Linked DNA regions of Mus musculus. The protein of the gene in region 1 purifies or fractionates together with the protein of each later gene. This does not show direct contact. Links are inferred from orthologs where the notes say so. Each region holds a gene or a part of one and is shown on either strand. Other genes may lie near its edges.

Region 1 (3,812 bases):
GCGGTAAGTCTCCAACCCAAACAAGCCAGGCAATAAAAACACAACTCAATGTGAATACAAGCTGTGCACCTAGATTGGGCAGATCTACCACTACACTACCATCTTCCCCATATAAGAGACCCCTTAGAACTTGCAGTTTCTCCAGGCCAGGTGCTTCTGCTCCACTTTCCTTCTTCCTCCTCCTCTGTCGTCCATTCTCTCTTTTTCTCCCAAAACCTTCAGCTCCACCTTCCTCCTGTCAATCACCAGCTCTAGCCTTTATTTACAAATTAAGGTGGGATGCAGGTTTACAGGAGATCACCTGAATGTTGACTCGTTCCTTGTTCACATTCCCTCACAGGAGAATGGAATTAACATCAAATATAATTAGCCCCAGGGCTATCCGCAACACAAATATATGACAAGATATACTGTATATCTTTCTAGAAGGTAGCTTGATTGCATAGTTCCTTCTTAGATCAGCTTATCCTCCTAAATCACTTATTTTATTTTTCTGCTCCATGCCTTGGGCTTTCTCCCTATAGCCTGTGGCATAAAAGCCAGAACCCTACCTTCAAAATACCCAATGAAAGCGACTTAAGGAAGGAAGGGTTTATTTAGACTCACAGTTTAAGGGGAGACAGTCCTATCAACAAGTACGGCCTGGCAGCAGGATGGTTAGTCAGCTGGTCACATTGGATCCACAGTCGGAAAGCAGTGGTGAATGCTGGTGTTTGATACACTGTCTCCTTTTTATACAGTCTTCTTCAGTGCTTTTTGGGCATTGTTAGCTAAGTCTGTGTTTGTCTGCTAATAGAGTTCACAGAAAGAAGTACAGAGTCTCTTTTCTTCCTCTCCTCTCCTCTCCTCTCCTCTCCTCTCCTCTCCTCTCCTCTCCTCTCCTCTCCTCTCCTCTCCTCTCCTCTTCTCTTCTCTCCCCTCACCCCCCCCTCTTTCTCCCTTCCCACCTTGGTTTTGTGAAACAGTTTGGGATTCATCATGTAGACTGGGCTGGCCTCAAGCTCACAGAGATCCTCCTACTTTTGCCTTTAGAGTCCTTAGATTAAAAGCACACACCACCCCATCCAGCTTCCATTTCTTCTCTATAGAGCCTTGCTATTAAACATTTGTTAACGTAACTTTTTTAGGGGGTTTCTGAGTACAACCAAGTTCATTTCAGTTATCAACTTGGCCAGTGAACTTGTGACAATCAGAGGCTTCATCCTTTAGTCTCGTTGAAGAGTCCAGGCTCCTTCTGAGTTCTTGGCTAGTCCTTTCCCTTGTGGTCCTAGCCAAAAGGAGCCTTGCAGGTATTATGTACTCTTTATGGTTAGGGAATTTTAATTTGTTTTTCTCCAGAGAGGAGGTGGGCATATGGATTAGACCCCTGTATGATCTTAAAAGAGGAAGTGCTAACAAATTTGTATGTCTGGGTGAGTTTTTTTTTTAATTGAAAATCTTCAGAGTAAAATGGAGTCTTGTCTGTTTCTTTGGTCCTAGGTTCCTTGCCTTGACTCCTTGGAGAGTGTATCACCTCATTTCCGTCATGATTCTTGGGCGTGTTATCATGCAGATCATCAAGGAAATGGTTTTGTCCAGGACAAGAGGTAAGAATATGCGACTTGATTTTTGTGTATTTTATTTCAAGTGTCTAATTTTTGGGTGGATATATTCATCTTTTGAACATGAGGATCATGTAGAGACGCTTTTTTCTACTTTCTTTACTTCCTGTTTCCTCCATTCTCCACCCTACCCCCCTTCCCTCTGTCTGAGATATGGTCTTACTGTACCCAGGTTAGCCTAGAACTCCCAGTCATCCTCTTGTCTCAGCTTGCTGAGTGCTAGGATTATAGACATGAGTCACCATATTGTCTGGGTTTGCTTTTCTCTCTCTCTCTCTCTCTCTCTCTCTCTCTCTCTCTCACACACACACACACACAACTTTATTTTTTTCTTCAGTGCTGGGGGTTAAACCCAGGCCCCTTGCACATGTTAGCCAAACAGTGTACCACTGAGCTACATCCCAAGCTTAATAATGTATTTCTGATTCCCTCTCTTGTCAGAACAAGGGAAAGGTCCCGTGCTGGGCTCTCCCTTGGTTCTAAGCTACATACGTCACACATCAGGGTGATATTTAAGTAGGCCACTGTAAGAAGAGCAGTTAAATATTTACTCCACCCTACAAGCTCATACCGGGCCACTGGAAAATGTAGTAGTTTGAGTACAGTTTTCTTTTACCTCAGCGAAAGAATGCAATAAGCTTTAAAAAAAAATCACCGATAGTTACAGATTAATGGTGTTGGAAAGAGAACCAACTGTAAGCTCTAAAGTGGGAGCTGGACTCATTTTTAAAGAGTGCTTGACTTCCTAGGAGTATATACTATTTTCCTGAGTGCAACCTTTCTGTGAATCTCCATGCCTCCTCTACTAATACTTGAACCAACTTCTGTAAATGGGCAAAAATCCCTCCTGGACATAAGAGTCTACATGTAATAAGATCTATTTGGTCAAAATCATAAGGAGGAGGCTTTAATTAGTGTCTGTATGGACTGCTGTGTCTCAGGACTGCCCAGATTCACCATCATGGGGATGTACCATGAAAGTGGCAACATCTCTCAAACAAGAACTTGAGCCCTGGAGTTTCGCCATCGCGGTGTTCCGTGGGTTACCTTTCAAGCGGGTCATGTTTCAGTGTCCAGTCTTAACCCAACCACTATAGACGCAGTCTTTAGAAAGATTGTTTCACGTCAGTGTAGTCAGGTGTGGAGGTAACTCCTTCACGGCTAGCCTTTCTGGGAAGCTAAGCAAATTCATTTTTGTCTAGTTGAGGCATTTCAGGGATCCATGGATTTCAATTCGAGGCCAGCCTGGTCTACAAAGTGAGCTCCAGGACAGCCAGGGCTATACAGAGAAACCCTGTCTCGAAAAACAAAACCAAACAGAACAAAACAGAACAAAAAAACAAAAGAAAATTCTGTCCTCATATACACATTGCCTTCTTCCCCTTGAGCCTTTTTCTTCTTCTCACCCTTCCCCCTTTCTGAGAATAGATGCCCAGTTCCCTCACTTCCAGCAGCGTTTGCTGTTGTATCCCAGTGTACCTCGGCCTCCTGAGGCCAATACCTCACACCTCAGGATCTGAGGAGGGAAATGGGCTAGATCTTGGCAAGCCCTGCGTTCTTGTATTGACGCATAGCAGGATGCGGAGGGCTGTTGTCTTGGATATATTTTGCAACAAGTTATTCCCTCAGGAGAATGCAAGCAGGTTGCCATTTGTGGATGTGCTCTGAAGCCTTCTTTGAAGCACGCTGACCACCCTGGAGGTTGAGCACCTGAGTACTTTGCACTCACTGGGTGTTCACCCTGGCCGGACCTTAGGTGTGATTTCAATGAGTTACAAAAATCCGAGGAACCAGGAAAGGAGGGACTGAAGGACTTGGCTTCTGAGTGCGGGGGCCAGACTGAAAACGGGACTGTGCGGAAGTCCTTCAGCTTTGGCTGTCAGGGCCCACCAAGGCCTTCAGTTTTTATTTAAACCAGCCATTTGGTAGTCACACCGTGGAGATGAATGTCCTTGAAAACCCTCCTCACGGAAAAGCTGTCTCCTTCAAAACATTGAGGAGGGGAAAGCTGAAGTCTACCAGCCTAGAGTCTCTGCTTCTTAAATCAGATTGCCTAAGCAGGCCTGTAATCTCAGTGACTTGGAGGCCAAGGCGCGGGGATCAGAAGTTTGAGGCCTGCCTGGGCTCCGGAGGAAGTGCAAAACCACAAGGGGCTGCTGATCGAGATCCTGTCTGAAAATAGAAAGAGGATCTGGCTCTGTAGTGCAATGC
Region 2 (4,499 bases), on another chromosome or scaffold:
CTGATTAACCAACATTTCATCTTTAAATTTTCATGTACTGCATACATTTTCAGTGGACTGAAGAACTGCCCTTCAACTAGCTGAGACTGTACATCTATAAAAAAAAAAAACAAAACAACAACAACAAAAAAACAAACCTGAAGGTTACTCAGAAAACAACACTATTACCATTTTCATCCCAGATCTGTCTCAACTGGTTGTAAAATTTCTTCTGAAAGACTTAATTGTATTTGGGTCAAGGGTAAAATGAGTAGCTGGGTATTAAACTATTTTTAATTTGAAAATAAAAACAACAATAAATAAATACAACAATATTATATACCAATTCATTTGTCTTCATATGTAAGAAAGATTACCAGGAGAAAACCAAGAAGTGGGCTATGTATTTCATGTTCTTGTTTTGCCAGTTAAATTCAGTTCACTTTATTTTGCCCATATTTTATAACCATATCACTAAGTCATGTACATAAAATCAGGCAACAGGGCTGCTTGCCTGGTACCACTTAGTAGTCATTTTATTTTCACAGCACAAAGCATCCTTGAACTTTATCTCCGATGTTCCCAAGATATAGGTCTGGAGTTACTGCCAGTAGAATCAGAAGGGTGACCCCGCATCCAAAGAGTCTTAAGATGGAAACCCGGTATGTCAGAGGGGCCTGGGCTGACTCTCTCTATACTATTGAGGGTCTTCCACCAGCATGCCAGTCAGAGCTTTTGGTGCCCAATAAGGCCTTTTCATCAGGACAACTACCCTACAGGTGATACCCACCCCAGAGCAAAGTATTGTTGGGGAAACATAGACACCTAAATGATTTGACCTCTGTATTTTCAAGAACTCAACAACCATGCTTCTGGGTGAACCTTATAAAATGAATGGATTCATCTCTCCTTGAACGTGAGTGAAGCCTGGTGTTCATCGCTGGCATCGCTTCTTCTAACCTTGATGACTTCATGTTCTTCACCCTTACACTTCTTCAAATCCATGAGTCATGCTCTGTTTATGTTGTCTCAGAACCAATTCTAGCACAGATCCAAACATAAGGACACCAGTCAGAAGGAGGAGTTGGGGCAGAGAAGGCAGGCCAGTCGTGGGTGCCAGGCAAAGGTCAAAATGCAAGCACAGGACATTTCAGCCCGGGCTACAAATCTCGTGACGCCTGGCACTTTTCCAACTCCAGACTCCTGATTCCATTGCTCTGGAAACAGCTGGATTTTCTTCCTCTGTGTTTGTTTTGGGCATCAAACAAGAAACTTGAAGGGGAGGGAAGACGACATTTGTTAGAGCATTCTTTGAATTAACAAATTACCTTTAATATCAATCCTCAAAAATAAAAACCCGACTACATGATTTTTGCGTTTCGATGGAGTGGTTTAGGAAAAGCTTGGGTGAAAAGAAGATACACAAATAAACAAAGCTTCTGTCCACCCGGATCCAGCAGGTCCTTAGCGCCGGGGGCGGAGCGGGGGTGGGGCGTCGTGATGTCACAGCACCGCCCTGGTGTTTTTGTGTTTCCAGCTCTTGGGAAAAGCCACCCTATTTCTTTACCTGGTGGTCCTTTACCTTCAGGCCGCGAGATCTCCAGGTCCTTCTCTGGACGTTTAGCCACGTAGTGCGGCGACTGGCGCGTGGGAGCTGACGCGGGTGGAGCGATTGTGATAAGGCTGACATTGACTGGGGGTGGCCAGACGCGAGACGCAGTCATCAGCGCGCGCAGCAGGCCCCGTCCGGGGAGCCCCTACATCCTGAGGTCCATCATGAAGTTCCAGTATAAGGAGGACCACCCCTTCGAGTATCGGAAAAAGGAAGGTGAAAAGATTAGGAAGAAATACCCGGACCGGGTGCCGGTGAGTGGGGGCGGGGAGGGAGAAGGCAAGCTTGAGGAGTTTGGGAGCTGGTTGCCCTGGAGCTACCGAGGTAGCCTGGCGATGGCGGGTGGCCCTGGCACAGGAGGGTCATCGGAATCAAGTATTCTTGACCGGCTTTGACAAGCTTGTATCCCCAGGGCCTGTAGCCACTTTTGGCATCTCGAAAGCGCAGCGTGCGCGTGGTGGGTGAGTCAGCAGGATTCAGCACCCATGGAGGTTGGGATGTGCGCGTGGCGAGGCCTGTGTGTGCGGGGGCGACTGGTTGGGGGCCGCAGATAGGATATGCTATAGAAAAACGCGTCCCAACCCTGTAGCAGCAGGTGAGATGAGCCTTGTGCCCATCCATGTCTGCTCAATTGGTTCTCCATGAAAACGAGTCTCCTTCCCATTTCCTTGAGCGTAGGAGGAAAAACTCGAGAAGCCCCTAGATTCTGACCTGCGTTTTTTTTTTTTTTTTTTTTTTAGAATTGGGGGTGGGGTGGGGTGAGGGGCTTCACCAGGCGGGCCCTCAAACAAGGTCATGCCTGCCTCCACCTCATTATTGTCTCCTGGGCCATGTGTGGAAAAAGAAGGTCCGTGCTCTGCACTGTGATAGGTGGGTGGGCTCTTGGATCTCAAGAACCAGTACTGAGAACCGTTTCCTCCATTAATTATACCCCGATTTAAGCAGCTAATACCTAGTTCATGCAGTGGGGAGAAAAATACTAAGGGAGTCTTCAGCATCCGGGTGTTTTCCACTTTACCCCCTCCCCCGCCCACTTGCCTTTTTTTTTTTCCTCCTCTTTTGAAGGCTGCGCAGCAGAATTGGAAGCAAAGGATGACATCGCTTTTAAATATGGTGGATAGAGGACCAGGGACTTTAAAAAATCGTTCTCTTTATTTGTACAGGCAATGATGTTATATTAGGTTGGCGTTCCTCTAACTTTGAAGGGTAAAAGAGCTGTGCTAACCTGATAATTTTTTTTTTTGATGCATAAGTAATAGGGGGGAGGGACTTCTTCCTTATTCTTTATCTCAGCCAGGGCTACCAGAAGAAACGGAGGTCCAGCAAGAGAAAGCCCTCAGCCCCATTTTCTACCCTCAGCCCCATTTTCTACCCTCAGCCCCATTTTCTATGAGGAAGAAGAGAGCTAACTATTCCACCATTCTCCAGAAATTACATATACATGGCTCTTCCAGAACGGCTGGGCACACTCCAGTCATGCCTTCCTACTACACAGTCCTTCACATGTTATTTCCTTGAGCTCAGGACTGTGGAGGATTGCTTTCAAAATTTCTCTCAGTTTGTCAGCCCCACTTAATATTTTAAAATTACACATGGACCACACAGCTGGCAGCACTCTGAATGCCTTGTCTGTGTACTCACCGACTCTCGTCACAGCATTAAAATCCCTGTGCTAGAGACATGCTCTGAAGCACAGGGCAGTGAAGTCACCACCCACAGGTTTGACATTGCTGACTGGTGGAGGAGAATTCCAGCCCTGGCTGTCATGCTTCAGGGCTTCCAGAGCCCTTGGGCTTCCAGAGTTTTGTTTTTGTTTTTGTTTTCCAGTTTGTAGTACAGTTAGATGAACGCCTTGTAAGGTTGAGCCCTAGAAGTAGGTTAACACCTGCTGCCATCTGGAGTTCAGGTGGTAGTTGGTGCCAGCCAGGAAACTTAAGTGAACACCTACCCCCATTATTCAGAACTTTAACAGAAATCCGAGCTGTGACCTGCAACTGTTTCCAAATTCAGCTAAAACCTCCGTCCTTCCTCAAGACAGAGCCCCCTCGCATTCAGTTGTGTACAGCACTCACCCACAATATTGCAGTTTCTCTGTATTCTCCTGTTTGTGACTTGATGCTGAATGTTTTACTTCAGTGATGATTTGTAAGCCAAGACACCTTCGCTTAGATCTCATGGATCCCTGGATTTCACACCCAGATGGTACCTCCCAATCTGAGAGGTTCTCAACCTCTCATCTGGTTGTGACATAGAACCCTGCTGAGATTTGTGTGGGGGTGGGAGTGGGGGCAACACTAAAATTGGAACCCTTTGCCTGGTGTCTTCTCCATGACTGGATTATAACAGGAGTTCTCCTGCCTTGGTCACAGGGCCGAATCTTCCTATGTTCAGGTATTTACAGGAAAGCCGCTAAGTTTCTAAGGCAGTCTGACTCACAACTTAAGCTTGGCCTCTTAAGAGGTGTGCGTGGGCCTTGGGAGAAGGGATCATGGGATCTTGAGATAACCGTGTGTTGGAGACCTGTAACAGCAGGAACTGTAGGACATACTATTTTTAAACATTTGTAAACATCCCTATGGTGTATGAGCCACTGCGACAGATGCAGAAAACAAGTCCCCTCTCCTTTTGGTTGGAGTTCCAGGACTCAAGAGTTCCTGTGGTGAATACCAGGGCTCCCTGTTTCCTGTGCTCTGTTTGTAACCTGCCTCTTTCCTTCCTCTTTTTTGGTCTATTTCTTTTCAAGTTCTTTTCTATTTCCCTTGAAGCTTTGGATTCACGTCTGTCTACCCAAGCATTTTCTTGTACTTGTTTGTATGGTATCTGGGGGTGGACAGGTATGTGGCTTGATGAAGAAGCTCGAAAAGGTCGGAAACACACTGACAGACACTCAGCTTCTAGGGATACTTGT

Evidence for each region.
Region 2: the proteins of Retreg1 (region 1) and Gabarapl1 purify together in Homo sapiens (affinity purification with western blotting; 3 studies listed by BioGRID and IntAct, with this or other methods). This does not show direct contact. The link is inferred for Mus musculus from reciprocal best matches to the Homo sapiens genes RETREG1 and GABARAPL1.

The regions. Positions count from the first base shown.
Region 1 is NC_000081.6:25,888,002-25,891,813, forward strand, and holds part of Retreg1 (reticulophagy regulator 1), read left to right. Parts: intron 1-1,479; coding exon 1,480-1,586; intron 1,587-3,812. UniProt on the Homo sapiens protein: Endoplasmic reticulum (ER)-anchored autophagy regulator which mediates ER delivery into lysosomes through sequestration into autophagosomes.
Region 2 is NC_000072.6:129,531,692-129,536,190, forward strand, and holds the start of Gabarapl1 (gamma-aminobutyric acid receptor-associated protein-like 1), read left to right. Parts: upstream 1-1,500; 5' UTR 1,501-1,755; coding exon 1,756-1,845; intron 1,846-4,499. UniProt on the Homo sapiens protein: Ubiquitin-like modifier that increases cell-surface expression of kappa-type opioid receptor through facilitating anterograde intracellular trafficking of the receptor. Involved in formation of autophagosomal vacuoles.